3 linked regions of the Cricetulus griseus genome follow. The protein of the gene in region 3 purifies or fractionates together with the protein of the main gene of each other region. This does not show direct contact. Links are inferred from orthologs where the notes say so. Each region holds a gene or a part of one and is shown on either strand. Other genes may lie near its edges.

Evidence for each region.
Region 1: the proteins of Rabggta (region 3) and Chml purify together in Homo sapiens (co-immunoprecipitation; 3 studies listed by BioGRID and IntAct, counting the BioPlex papers as one, with this or other methods). This does not show direct contact. The link is inferred for Cricetulus griseus from reciprocal best matches to the Homo sapiens genes RABGGTA and CHML.
Region 2: the proteins of Rabggta (region 3) and Chm purify together in Homo sapiens (co-immunoprecipitation; 4 studies listed by BioGRID and IntAct, counting the BioPlex papers as one, with this or other methods). This does not show direct contact. The link is inferred for Cricetulus griseus from reciprocal best matches to the Homo sapiens genes RABGGTA and CHM.

Annotation. Positions count from the first base shown.
Region 1 is NC_048598.1:18,011,591-18,015,843, reverse strand, and holds the start of Chml (rab proteins geranylgeranyltransferase component A 2), read right to left. Parts: upstream 2,817-4,253; 5' UTR 2,568-2,816; coding exon 714-2,567; 3' UTR 1-713. UniProt on the Homo sapiens protein: Substrate-binding subunit (component A) of the Rab geranylgeranyltransferase (GGTase) complex. Binds unprenylated Rab proteins and presents the substrate peptide to the catalytic component B.
Region 2 is NC_048604.1:58,850,218-58,854,187, reverse strand, and holds the start of Chm (rab proteins geranylgeranyltransferase component A 1), read right to left. Parts: upstream 2,821-3,970; 5' UTR 2,632-2,820; coding exon 2,617-2,631; intron 1,763-2,616; coding exon 1,651-1,762; intron 1-1,650. UniProt on the Homo sapiens protein: Substrate-binding subunit of the Rab geranylgeranyltransferase (GGTase) complex.
Region 3 is NW_023276807.1:210,918,589-210,922,696, forward strand, and holds the start of Rabggta (geranylgeranyl transferase type-2 subunit alpha), read right to left. Parts: upstream 2,801-4,108; 5' UTR 2,601-2,800; intron 636-2,600; 5' UTR 482-635; exon of another isoform or gene 376-481; intron 243-375; 5' UTR 176-242; coding exon 173-175; intron 51-172; coding exon 1-50. UniProt on the Homo sapiens protein: Catalyzes the transfer of a geranylgeranyl moiety from geranylgeranyl diphosphate to both cysteines of Rab proteins with the C-terminal sequence -XXCC, -XCXC and -CCXX, such as RAB1A, RAB3A, RAB5A and RAB7A.

The sequences.
Region 1 (4,253 bases), on a different chromosome or scaffold from region 3:
AAGAGGTTCTTCAAACGACTAAGGGGCACTTTTTTTTGTAAAGTAGCAGGCTAGCGTAGTCTCACTGCCTCCTCAGTGACAAAGGTTAAAGCAGGTGAAATCACATGTAAATAGCAGCCCCAAGCCACAGGCTCATGCATGGCCAAGCTTCTAACACTTGCTTTTTTACCATACTTGTATTAGCTGCTACTCCTACTACCAGCCCTGTGTGTTTACATAATATACAAAAAACTCACTCCGTTTATGATTATGTGTTCCTCTGTGCACCCGAGGTGGTAGCAACAGTAGTAGCACTCTGTGGATATTAATTTTTGTGTAGATAATGATAAAACCTGAACACAGAACACAGAAGACGATGCTACCTTAAGTTAAGCAATGTCGCTAATGTGAAACCCAAAAGTAAAATAAAGCTAATGACATTCAGAGATTCTGGATTCCTGTAGCCAATTCTGAAAAAGGTGAGTCACCACAAACCAGATGCTGACAGATTAGCAGAGCTATTAGGGTACCCAGTGTCTTGGTGTTGAAGACATGTGAACAGCGCTTATCACAAATGGCAGCTGTCTTTCAGTGACAATATTGTGAGACCAGGATGAAAATACTTCCAGTCAGTTTTAATTTCGAAGGTGTTCTGTGCTTTACAAGTCCTTGCTGTGTCCTTGGGGTGTCTAGCTGGATGGTAAGTGTGTTACTGACTCCAGGATGTCTGCTTGCTAACCCTCACCTTCAAAGATAATGTCTTCTGGATTTGGTGGAGGAGGGCAGAACTCTTCACTGGGAAAGATCTCCTGGAACAGTGTTTCCGCTTGCTTAACGGCATGCTCATTCCCCAGTCCACAGTCAGGCCCAGAGCAGATGTACACATTGGAAGGTAAACCATGGTATGAGCTTCGGCTCACTCCTGAGGAATCTCTCATATTAAAATAAAGGGCCCACAAGAGTCTTGGTTTTCTGAGTTCTTCCTCATCTGTTTCTGCTTCTGCAAAAGGAATGAATAACTGCTTAACTACTGGTTCCAAGTCTTCTCGGGCTGTTTTTGAAGAAACACAGGTCAGGTGGACCAGATAGCTGTCCTTCATGCACGTCATGGTTGATGAGCATAACTCCATGACCCGAATTGAGCTGCTTCCAGGCTCTAGTGGAGGCACTACCAGAATGGAAATTTGATGGTCTGAATCTGTCTTTAGGATGGACTGATCTGTGATAAGCACAGCCCTCGAGATCTGCTTATATTGCACATTTGAACAGGTTTCCTTAGAAAGGTAACTGTCCTCCACAATAAAGTAGTTGGCACTTATTCTCTGACCAAAGTGGTCAATGACCCCTTTACATCTTCCAGAGTCTTTATCAACTACAAGGCATTGGACTTTATGGCGAAGACAATAGATTCCACCAAACACTGCACACATCCTGCAGAAACACTGGGGGATTTCTCCTTGGCCATATAAAGGAAATATAAAGGGAGTGTTGCCAAACCGTCCAAGACACTGAAGAAAGGTTTTTGTTGCTTTAAGACCATCTAACGTAGTGCAGGATGGTTCTGATGTCATTGCAATTGAGTGTAGTATGAAATGTTGGAGGTTGGGCGTTAACTTTTTAGTTTTTAGGTACTCAGAAAATGGGCATTGTTTGAAGTCTTGGTATTCATCAGAATGCTGTTCATAGTCTAAACAGAATGTGAGGAATTTCATTAGCATTCTCTTCTCAACCACGGTGAGCGCTTTACTACTAAAGACATCTGCTCTGCAGCAAGGCACCTGCTCTACCTTCCCGTCCCGAAACGCAAGGATCCTAGTGACATTCTTAAATTCTGCGTAACGACTAACGTTTGATTTGATGAGAAGATCAATCAATGATCCTTGAGAATACAGCAGCTTCGATACCAAGTCAATATTAAATCTCCGGCTCTCCTTAATCATTTGAGGGTAAGTAATCCTGTTTCTCTTTGGTTGTTTGCTGTTGTCTTCTATATCAGGTTTGTCTTCATCTTTATCTCCATCTGAAACTGTCTGGATGCCACCATCCTTTTCTTGATCCAGTGAGTTCTCTGCATCAGTTAAGGATGGTGACGGCTCCGTATCACTTCTCTCTGTGTGTCTAGAAGGTGCTTCGTGGCTTGAAAAGTATACTGTGTACCCTTCTTTGGGCAAACCTGCAGAATCCAGAGAGTCAGCCAGGGTAGCAGATGCCTTTGGGGAAGGACTTCTCTGCAGAGCATTGTTCTCTTGAGTGCTGTCCCCATCATCTTGACTGGCGTAACAGAAGACTTCTGTGTTCTCAATAGTCTCATCTTTCTTGCAAAGAGCGATGGCGTCTTCCGTTTCATGGATCAGGTCTTGCCACGAGGCAGTCATGTCTTCCTCGCTGTCATGGTTCTGTTCATAGTCCTTCAGCCAGGACAGCAAGCCTGTAAAGCTGAAACTTGCCCAATTCCCTCCATAGTAACTTCTGGAGTCAACATGCAGAACTCGCTGTCCACTTCTGGAACACGCAGCTGCCAGGATGGACTCAGGCAAACCTGTCCCTATAATAACTACATCAAACTCTGTGGGAAGCTTGTCTGCCATCCTAGGAGCTGAAACTTCAGGTCACAGCTGATGAAAGAACTCTGTATGGAACTAGGTCGAGGGCTCCTCTGAGGTATTTATGCTGTAATAAAATCTCTACTTGGGATCTTCAATCAGGAACACTGAGTTTGCAAATCCTAAGCTGTTTAACGCTTAACAATTTTTAAACATTAAAAAAAAAGTCAGTAGCATGGAAAACACGATAATGCATGTAATCGTATGTGAGAATACTCAAATGGATGCGTCCTTTTCATTTCTGCATTTCACCTTAGCGGGAAATGTTACCATGCATCACATGTGCATTTGTGACTGGAACTCTCCTCTGAAAGAAGAAAATTCAAGAAAAGAACACAATGATAAATAATATAAAAGCAATTTCATGCAACAGCAGTTTCAATCCACCGGAGTCTGACTTGTTAACGTGGCTACAAACCTCTACCCAAAGAAGTCATTAAATGCTTTCCCATAGGTCTTCTTAGTTCTTGAAAATGAACAAAAGATATTTAATATATTCTCTCCCCACAGCCCAGCAATACTGTCATAAGGCATGGACACAATATCCCACAAAAAATAAAAAAATTATACAATTATTTGATTGTTAATTATGTATCTGGACAATACTGTGAGCTTAGACTAAAAGAGATATGTGGCTTTACTGTGTTTATGCAAACATACTATGCTGAGTGAGCATGTCAACATAATGGCAGATATTTCTGTGGTCAGGAACATTTGCGGGTAACCCCAGACAGCTGCATAGGAGATTTTACATCCTGAACTACCCTAAGGATCTTGCAGGAGATACATGAGACATCCAGACATTACAAGAGAATTAATTCAATAACTGGCATTTAATGTATGTAGGTATGTAAAAGAACAGGCCTGAGGGGAAACAGTTTTGTAACATTTTCTGTGTCAAAGTACATGTGTAAGTTAAAGTTCTTGGTTTCCTGTATTAAACCATTTCAATATAAATAACATCTATTCATAACACCTAAGTGAGGAGACATTTACATTTTGCCAGACTGTCTCTGCAACTACGAATCTCTCTCTAAACATGTTTTCATTTCTAAAGAAGAAATGGGAAAGGACTCTCCTGTCCCCTCCCATCACATGCTGGCTATCTCCATGTGATGCTGGGTGTGGCTGGAGGCTGTTCCCTTGGACATACTCACCTGGAAGTCGGCAGGCTGGCACACTCACACACCCCACTGCCAGCCTTTTATGGCTCACCATGCATAGCAGCAGCAAGTGTTCCTTGGCCTCTACTTTTCACTACCGTTAAATCTGCTGACCTCTAGATACAGGTACACCTAAGAGAATGATACTTCTGATATTTACGAAACAAGCCATACAAATGGAATTTACACGAACTTCACTAAGTAGCTGGTCCGACCTGTCAGTTTAACTGAAACAGTGATCCTAACAAGCCCAGCTGGTAGAAACCTCGGACCAAGATTATCAGGGATTCTACTTATTTTTAGCTTTCTTTGAGAAGCCAGGATGAGAGCCCAGAATGAAGCAATTGCTTAGTCTACTTGTGTAAATATGTAAGAATAGGTGAATTACTTACTCGCCCTTCTTCTAACAGGTTGTAAAGAGGGAGACAGAATCTATGAGGACTAAAGTGTAAACATGTATTCACTTCCTCTAGGCTGAGGCTGGCAGTGGGGCCAGTGGGGCAGGAAG
Region 2 (3,970 bases), on a different chromosome or scaffold from region 3:
AAAAGGTTTCTAAGAAAAGGCAATACAGTAAGTATTACAAGCACAGGAGAGCAGTTTCTCTATAGTAACTAAATACCACAAAAAAAGATTGTGTGTGTGTGTGTGTGTGTGTGTGTGTGTGTGTGTGTGTGTGTATGTGTTTACACTAATACATGTCAAGGCATTATGCCACTTCATGTACATTCCCTTCCTTATAGAGCTCTGAGTTTTCAGTCAGCTGTGCATCTAATAGCACCAGCCAAACATATTCTTCACGGGTGATAAGAGTCTGTCCTTCAAAATGAGTTGGTTATAGTGCATTTTAAGCAAGCTAGAATTCTATCTAAAATAAGAATATATTCCAAGTTAGGAGCTGAATTATGCTCCTATATATGGCATATGTCAATGTTATCATATATCCTTTATACCTAATATTTCTTCCTCCCTTGTGACTTTTTGGCCTTGCTGGAGATCATACAATTTGTTGCTAGGATAATTTTTAACCTGCACCCAATGGTAACTTTTCCACAACCCACAAAATTATTGATAAAATTATTTTTAAATGCCAAACTATTCTGAAATGACAATAGTGTACCCAAGCCAAAGACCACATTCTAATCATTTGTTTATGACCATCTTTCCTCCCTATTGAGATTCCAATTGGTTTTACCTCTTTAATCTATTCCTCCATAGTTCAAGTGCTGTATCTTAACTTTCTTTCTTTGGGTATTCTGATATTATTTTCCCTTATCTTGAAAATATGACTTTAAAGGAAACCTTTATACCAGGTCATGCAAAAATGAAAAAATAAAAAACTATTTAAGGTAGGTAGACATTTACAATATTCTTGGATGATTCTACTTGATGAAGCAATTGTCTCTTGGTGATATTTTAACTAGAAACATGCTTAAGGGGAACTATAACTCACAGCCTAGTTCTTTACTTGTTTCTGATAATGATATACTTCATTTTGCTTTTGTCAACAGAACTGAAGTTATGAAACACTGCTTTTCCTGTAAGTTATCTACGAATTAATGTAACAATGCCAACACATTTGAAGTCTACTTCAATGAAGTATTTCAGAAAGAAAGCAAAATGCTTTAAAAATCAGTTCAATTACAAGAAATGATTGAAAGTGTCAGAATCATTTTATTTGAAAAATGACTTTCACCAAATGTTTCCACTTTTGAATGTGTCTAAAAGAATTAATACATTTAATAAAAGTTACCATATCACCCAAATCAAGTAGAATTCAAGTAAAATTTAAAAAACAAAACGGGGAAAAAAAAAACACCTTACTCTAAAAATGGATGGTGTTGTTTTAGAGCAGACTGGGAGAAGTGAATAGTCTACTGTGTCATCCAACATCTGTTCATTGCAGTTACAACCAGGTTAGCTATTGTGGTAGTAATCTTCAGACTGGGAATAAACACACCTCCACTCTTCTAAGAACAATTAATTACTCCGGTATATCTACAATATGAGAATTTGTGTTTGGATAACACCTTTAAAGGCTATTTGATCTAAGCTCCTTATATTCAAAATTGTGGAAATTGAATTAGCATGATCTAGAATAAGTTTTCCCACTTATTTCTGCTAACATTGTACAATTTTGAGAGTAAATAAAAAGTGATTCCATTTCTTGAATACTGCTGGTCTTTGGATATTTACCAGCAGTGTGACTTTGGCAAGTTAGACTTCCAGGCTGCTTCTCCTCTTCTGTGTATTGAAGAGAATATCCATTCGAGCAAGTTTGTTGTTGGAATTTTGTGAATTGCTTAGTCTATTGATTAGGAAATGACAAACATTTGAAAACGAGTTGCTATTGTTTTTACTCTAAACCTGGAAATATGGCTATTCTTACTCTATGGGAACAGAGCAAATTAAATTAATACAATGGACAGAGTCCCATTCACCAAAGCTTGTGCTGCCTACCACATTCTACAGACAGCAGAAAAACCCACCCACTATCTCTTTTATCTTATGCAAACTACATCCCTTATAATTAAGAAAAGAAATGTTAATTGCTGACAAGTGTTGTAGGATTAACTAATCAACTAGAAGCGGAAGAGGATTTCTGACTCCACCCAAAACATGGAGAACTAATGATGGAAAAACAAGGAGAAGCTAAGGTCAGGCACAGGATCTGGAATGAACATTGGGGCTTATTCTGGGCACATCTAGTTGTGGTGTATAGATGGGTGAAAGAAAGCAATATGCTTCCTTTCTGCATCATAAACAAGGATGCCTTAAATACCAGAATGCAAGAATAATGGCTACCTCAGTGGGGAAAAGGCTCTTAGGGTACTCAACACATAAAAAAGGAGTCCACTTCCTTTCCCGTAATAGAAATACATGGGGGGGGGGGGGGGGGAGACTGAGCATCATTCTTATTAACTGCAAATTAAGCTACATCTGAGCTGCAACGTATCCTAGAATCATGTAAGTATATGGAAAAAGCCCTATGAGATGGCGACAGAAAACGATGGGGAATATAACCTTGAAATCAACGAGGGAAAGAGGCAATTATAGTATGCCAATGGCGTCTCCATTGATCAAATACCGACCCTCCATTCTCATGACACTGCAAACCCACCCTCCTCTAGGAAATTAACAGGAATCACCGCAGCAACCAACCTCAGCAATCGGCATCGACCAGATCGACCCCTACTCAAATGGCGCAAAACACCGAGGTTCCAAGCCCCTCCCTGGAGCTGCCAAGTCCCGCGCTGACTCCAGGCTACCTCACTTCCTTTGCCTCCTCCCTCCCAGGCTCGACCCCCGCCGTTTCTCGCCAACCATCGCCACTGAAAGAGAAACTAAAAGGCGAGAATTATTTCCTAAATTTTGTCTAGGAAAAACCACGGCCACACATACCCGTCCCTATTACGATCACATCAAACTCCGAAGGGAGATTATCCGCCATCTTGACAGGAAACGTGTCATGTGACCTTTGTTTGTGGCTGTGAATTCCTCAGGCCGACTCTCTGTAGAAGGCGGAAGGAAAAACAGTGCATTCTGGGTGTTGTAGTTCTAGGGTGAAGGGTCCAGGAAAGTGGCAAAGATAAAGTATTTGAAATGTTAACGAGAGTGGTAAAAGTTCTATTCATTTTACAGTCTTCAGTGAACTAGCTTATTTGTCATGGAGGTTTGATACGGAAAAGAAATGTAAGTATTCGACTCGTCGAGCATGAGGAGTACACCCCTTGACAATTACCGAACAAAAATTTGGTCAGAGACATTCAAGGAGGAGTGAAATTCAAATTCAATTCATTTTGAACAAAGGAGATTTTCATTCATGCCAGGAAAACTCTTACCCCTAGCATGTCTGTATTTTTATTTTTGGAACAAGAGACATCGATTTTCACTTCATTATAATACTGTCCAACTATATTCTGTGTATTTCCAGTGGGGGTGGGGGGGCAGGGGGAACCAACCAAATAAAAATCCCTTTGCCTAGTTTCCACAAAATGGGATTCCTTCTGTATTCTCTAATCAGTTCAAACAGCTGCCTAGCAATGTAAGTTTCAAAAGGAGGCAGAGAAAAGACTGTGAAAGAATAATAAAAAATAGTAGATGCTTAATAAATCTTTTGTTTCACAATCTGATTTCCAACCAAAATAAGAGGAGACCAAACAACTTTCTCCTACGAAGATGCTGGAGAAATGATTAAAGTAAAATAGACTTATATAGAAGTGGTCATAATTGATAAGTGAGCTAAAGGTTGTCTATGCCAAACAGTTAACATAGCTCTCATGAGTATTTTCAAGGTCTGTCACCTCCCACTCTACCACTCTACCTTATTTAAAATGCTTGCCTTTCTGAAAATACTAAAGCAAAAAGAGAGGGGAGGGTTGCATTGAATTAAGGAAAGTACTTTCTAATCTTGGGAATTATTCGTCTAATTATTTTCCAAGAATTCAAAATAATTCAAATGCAAGATGCAGTAGTGTGACAATCCTTTATACTGTCTAGTGTCTCAGGTGCTTAT
Region 3 (4,108 bases):
CTTTTGGCTTCTGCCTGCTCTTCAGACGTCTTCACCTTCAGGCGCCCATGCTACGGGGATGGGTAGGGGGATAAAAATGCAGGTTGTCTTGCAGGGGCAGACTTGCAGAAGCCCCACAGAAAGCCACGCGGGGTGAGGGCGTGGGCATGCAGGGGCAGGGGGCTGGACTCACCATGGTGTCGGCTCAGCGTCGGGGACAGAGGAAGGGTCCAGAGGAGGGGTCCTGAGGTAGTTCGTTCAGTCTGCGAAGAAAGATGTCAATCACGGAACCCCGCCCACACAGCCCCGCCCCCCAGGTGTTTCCCGGAAGCTGCCCGCGGGCCTGAGTGAAGAGGTCCCGCGGCTGGAACTGCGAGATCAGGCGGAGGCACTCACCACAACCGGAGCTTCGGTAGGCCGGGCCCGAGCCGAGGCACCCGGAGAGAGCAGTGCCCGCCCGTCCCGCTGATCCCAGCACCCTCTCCCCCGCGGGCGAACCCACCTTCTCTGGGAAGAGGTGTCGGGACGTGCAGCCCGGCGCTGCCACCGAGTTCCAGCCTGGCTAGAGAGGCTTCGCGCCGTGTGAGGGGAGGCGCGGCGCCCCCTGCAGGCTCGGGGAGGGAGCTGCGTGTGTGTCATCCAGTTCTTGTTAGCGCCTAGGAGTGTGTGAGCAAAGGTGGCTGGCGAATGTGTGAATGACATGGAAAGGCTTCCCGTTACCAACTCAAACTGCAACCTAGTTGAAGAAGTTTCCCCAACAACCTGACACCAGCGAATTTCGGCTGTCAAAAACTCTCAGGTTCCTGCCTGCTCTCTTAATTTCATCCACAGTCATGGTTGCTATCGGGAAGGTGATGGTACCCAAGTCTCTAGCCCAGATGTCCGTCCACATGCATAATGATAATGATAATAATAATTACATATCAGTATACGTATGCGTTGACACATTCAGAAGCCCATTGGAAAAAGCCAGGGGCCGTGGTGGTGCTTGTAATATCAGCTTCTCAGGAGGTTGATGCAGGAAGTTCTCAACCTTCCTAACGCTTTGATACAGTTCCCCATGTGGTGATCCCCAGACATAAAGTGATTTCATTGCCACTTCATAACTGTAATTTACTACTGTTATGAGTCATAATAGAAATATCTGATCTGCAGAACAGCTGCTATGCGACCCCCAAAGGGTTGGTGACCCACAGGTTGAGAACCACTTAAACTCTATAGAGTTTAAGGCCAGTTTAAGTAATCGTGAGATTTCTGATTTTTAAGAAACGAGGCCGGGCGGTGGTGCACGCCTTTAGTCCAGCACTCAGGAGGCAGAGGCAGGCAGATCTCTGTGAGTTCGAGACCAGCCTGGTTCCAGGAGCTGGTTCCAGGAGAGCCTCCAAATCTATACAGAGAAACCCTGTTTCAAAAAAAACAAAACAAAACAAAACAAAACAAAACAAAAAAACCCAAAAAACAAAAAACCAAAAACAAACAAACAAACAACAACAAGAAAATGAAAAAAAGAAACTGAGTATGTTCTAGAGGTATTTCAAACTACAAACGCTAAAAGATACTGTCATGTCCATCTCTCCCGAATGCTAGCTTTCTTCTCATTGTTGTCCAGAATGGCACTGTTCTCTCTCTCTGCTTTTCTGTTAATGTCCTCCCCATTCCAGGTCCCACTAAGGTTGTTGAAATGGTTTTCATCCCAACCATGTCCCCTCCCCTATCAATTCACCTTTTGTGCCCTGGAAATGTACTTAAAGTACTCACTATGTCCCCAGTCTTTTTCTAGGTCCTGTCACTTATTTTAGAGGAAAAAAGATGATTTTTCCTGGACTTGTATACATCAGTCCCAGTGGGGAAAACATACGTAAGTTACTGGTTATCTTTGCTCCTGGTGCTATGATTGTGATGGGAGCTCTGTATATATGTGAGGCATATGAACACACACACACACACACACACACACACACACACACACACACACACACACACACGGAGGTAGAAGCAGAGTGATTTAAAACATGACTCTTCCTAACATGATGGGTCACACCTCTAATCCAAGCCCTTGGGAGGTTGGGGCAGGAGGATCCTGCGTTTGAAGCCAGCCTGTGCTATGCAGTAAGATGCTCTTTCAAAATGAGAAAATAAAAAAGCTGGATGTCTTGGAGAACACCTGTAACCCTGGTACTTGGGAGGAGAGAAAAAAATGTCAAGGTTGAGGCCAACCTGGATTAGTAAAGGAGTTCCAGGTTAGTTTTTGCCACATAGTCTCAAAAAAACTCAGTAACAGAAGAAACATTTTATTTATATGTTCGAGTTGATGTGAAGATTAAATAAAGTGCATATGCCTTTAATCTCAGTACTAGGGAGGCAGAGGCAGGAGTATCCCTGTGAGTTTGAAGCCAGCCCGGTCTACAGAGCAAGTTCCAGGACAGTAAGGGCTACACAAAGAAGTTCTTTGAATAATGACTATACTGAATAATTGCTCAGTAAATAATAATATAGTTATGATTTTTAGCTCTCCTGACAAACATGCATGAATCAGAGGTCCAAAAAGATTAGCTTGCTGAGGGTCACCCATGTAGTAAGTAGCTAGATAAGACTCAGATATGATTCTGGTCTAGTCTTACCTCATCATCCATTTTTTTTGTTGTTTGGCTACTTCCGGATCTTATAGGTACTCAGACATTCAACCAGATACCAGGAACACCGATGCCAGACAGCGTTACATCATAGTCACTAAGGGAGGAGAGGAGGAGGTGGGTGAAGGTTGAGGTAAGCATGAAAGACTATTTAATAATTAGCGATCTTGAAACTGGCAGAGCTGAGTCAGGCAGGCTCGAGAGGAAGTGAGTCCTCTGGAAAACATCTGCACTCAAGAAGGTGGGGCCTGTGTTTTGGAAAGAGAAGGCAGGAAGGGCATTTCAGACATGTGTGACATGAACATGGGGGTGAGGAAGCCAAACAGACTTAGCTTCTGGCAGAGAGAAGCTAAACCAGGTGCCCTCACAGATAAGAACAACCCAATTGATGACACGCCTCTTCATGGCAAAAGCAGTTGTCATGAGTTATATTTGGCCTTCTCTCTGAGGTAGTGGGAAGCAGGCAGCTGGTTGAGGGCTGTGCTCTGATACCTGAAGAGATTTTTCTGCTCATTGTGAAAGCAGTGATAGGAGCACCAGTAGAGACGAGTCAGCACTGTGGACATGGGAAGGAATCATCGTCCGGATCACAGTGTGGAAAGAGACGGGGTGGGGAACACCTGCACGCACAGTGCTTCCAGGACCCTGAGCAGAGACCAAATATGGTTTGGGTTGGGAGGAAGGAAGGGACAAAGAGCCACAGTCAAAGCTGGGCAGGCAGCCATGCTCCAGAGGTAGGGGGAGTAAGGAAGAGGCAGTTACAGTAGCCGGGTTCCTCTGCAGCATAAGACAGAGTGTTTGTTTTCAGTCACCTCTTCTTTAGCATAAGGACTGGGCTGCCACAGTCCTAGGCTCCAGGGATGCAGTGCTAGACCAACAAAACCAATCAAACAAACAAAAACCAAAACCAACAACAACAACAACAAAAAAAACCCAAAACATTTATGTTCCTTGGAGGTTGTGGTTAGTGAAGCCCTGTGTAATTGAACTCTCTGTGGCAGGGCAAGGGGAGCCTTTAATTCCAGCACTTGGGAAGTGAGAGAGAGAGGGAGAGAGGCAGAGGGAGAGGGAAGGAGGGTATTTTACTAAACCCGGAGATTGCCACCTCAACTAGCTGTCCCCAAGCTCCTGGGATCTCCCTGTCACTGCCCCACATACCCCACTGATGATGTGTAATAATGCGTTCTCCTTAAACTTCTGGTGTCTCTTGTATTCTTCCTACAATTGTAAAATAAGGATAATATACATATATCTTAATACACACATCATATGGCTGCAAATCTGATCCTCCTATTTAAAAATTCTCCCAGCCACAGAGATGAGAATGGAGAATGGGTTAGTGAGGAACTAGGTATATAGATAGGGAGTAGGGGTGAGCATGGGATGGCCAATAGAAATCTTTCTCAGCGGTATACAGACAGAACATGACCACCAGAGCCTTGTGGTTGGGCCAGAAGGACTACAAGTTAGACCAGTTCCCTGGTAGGCATCATATA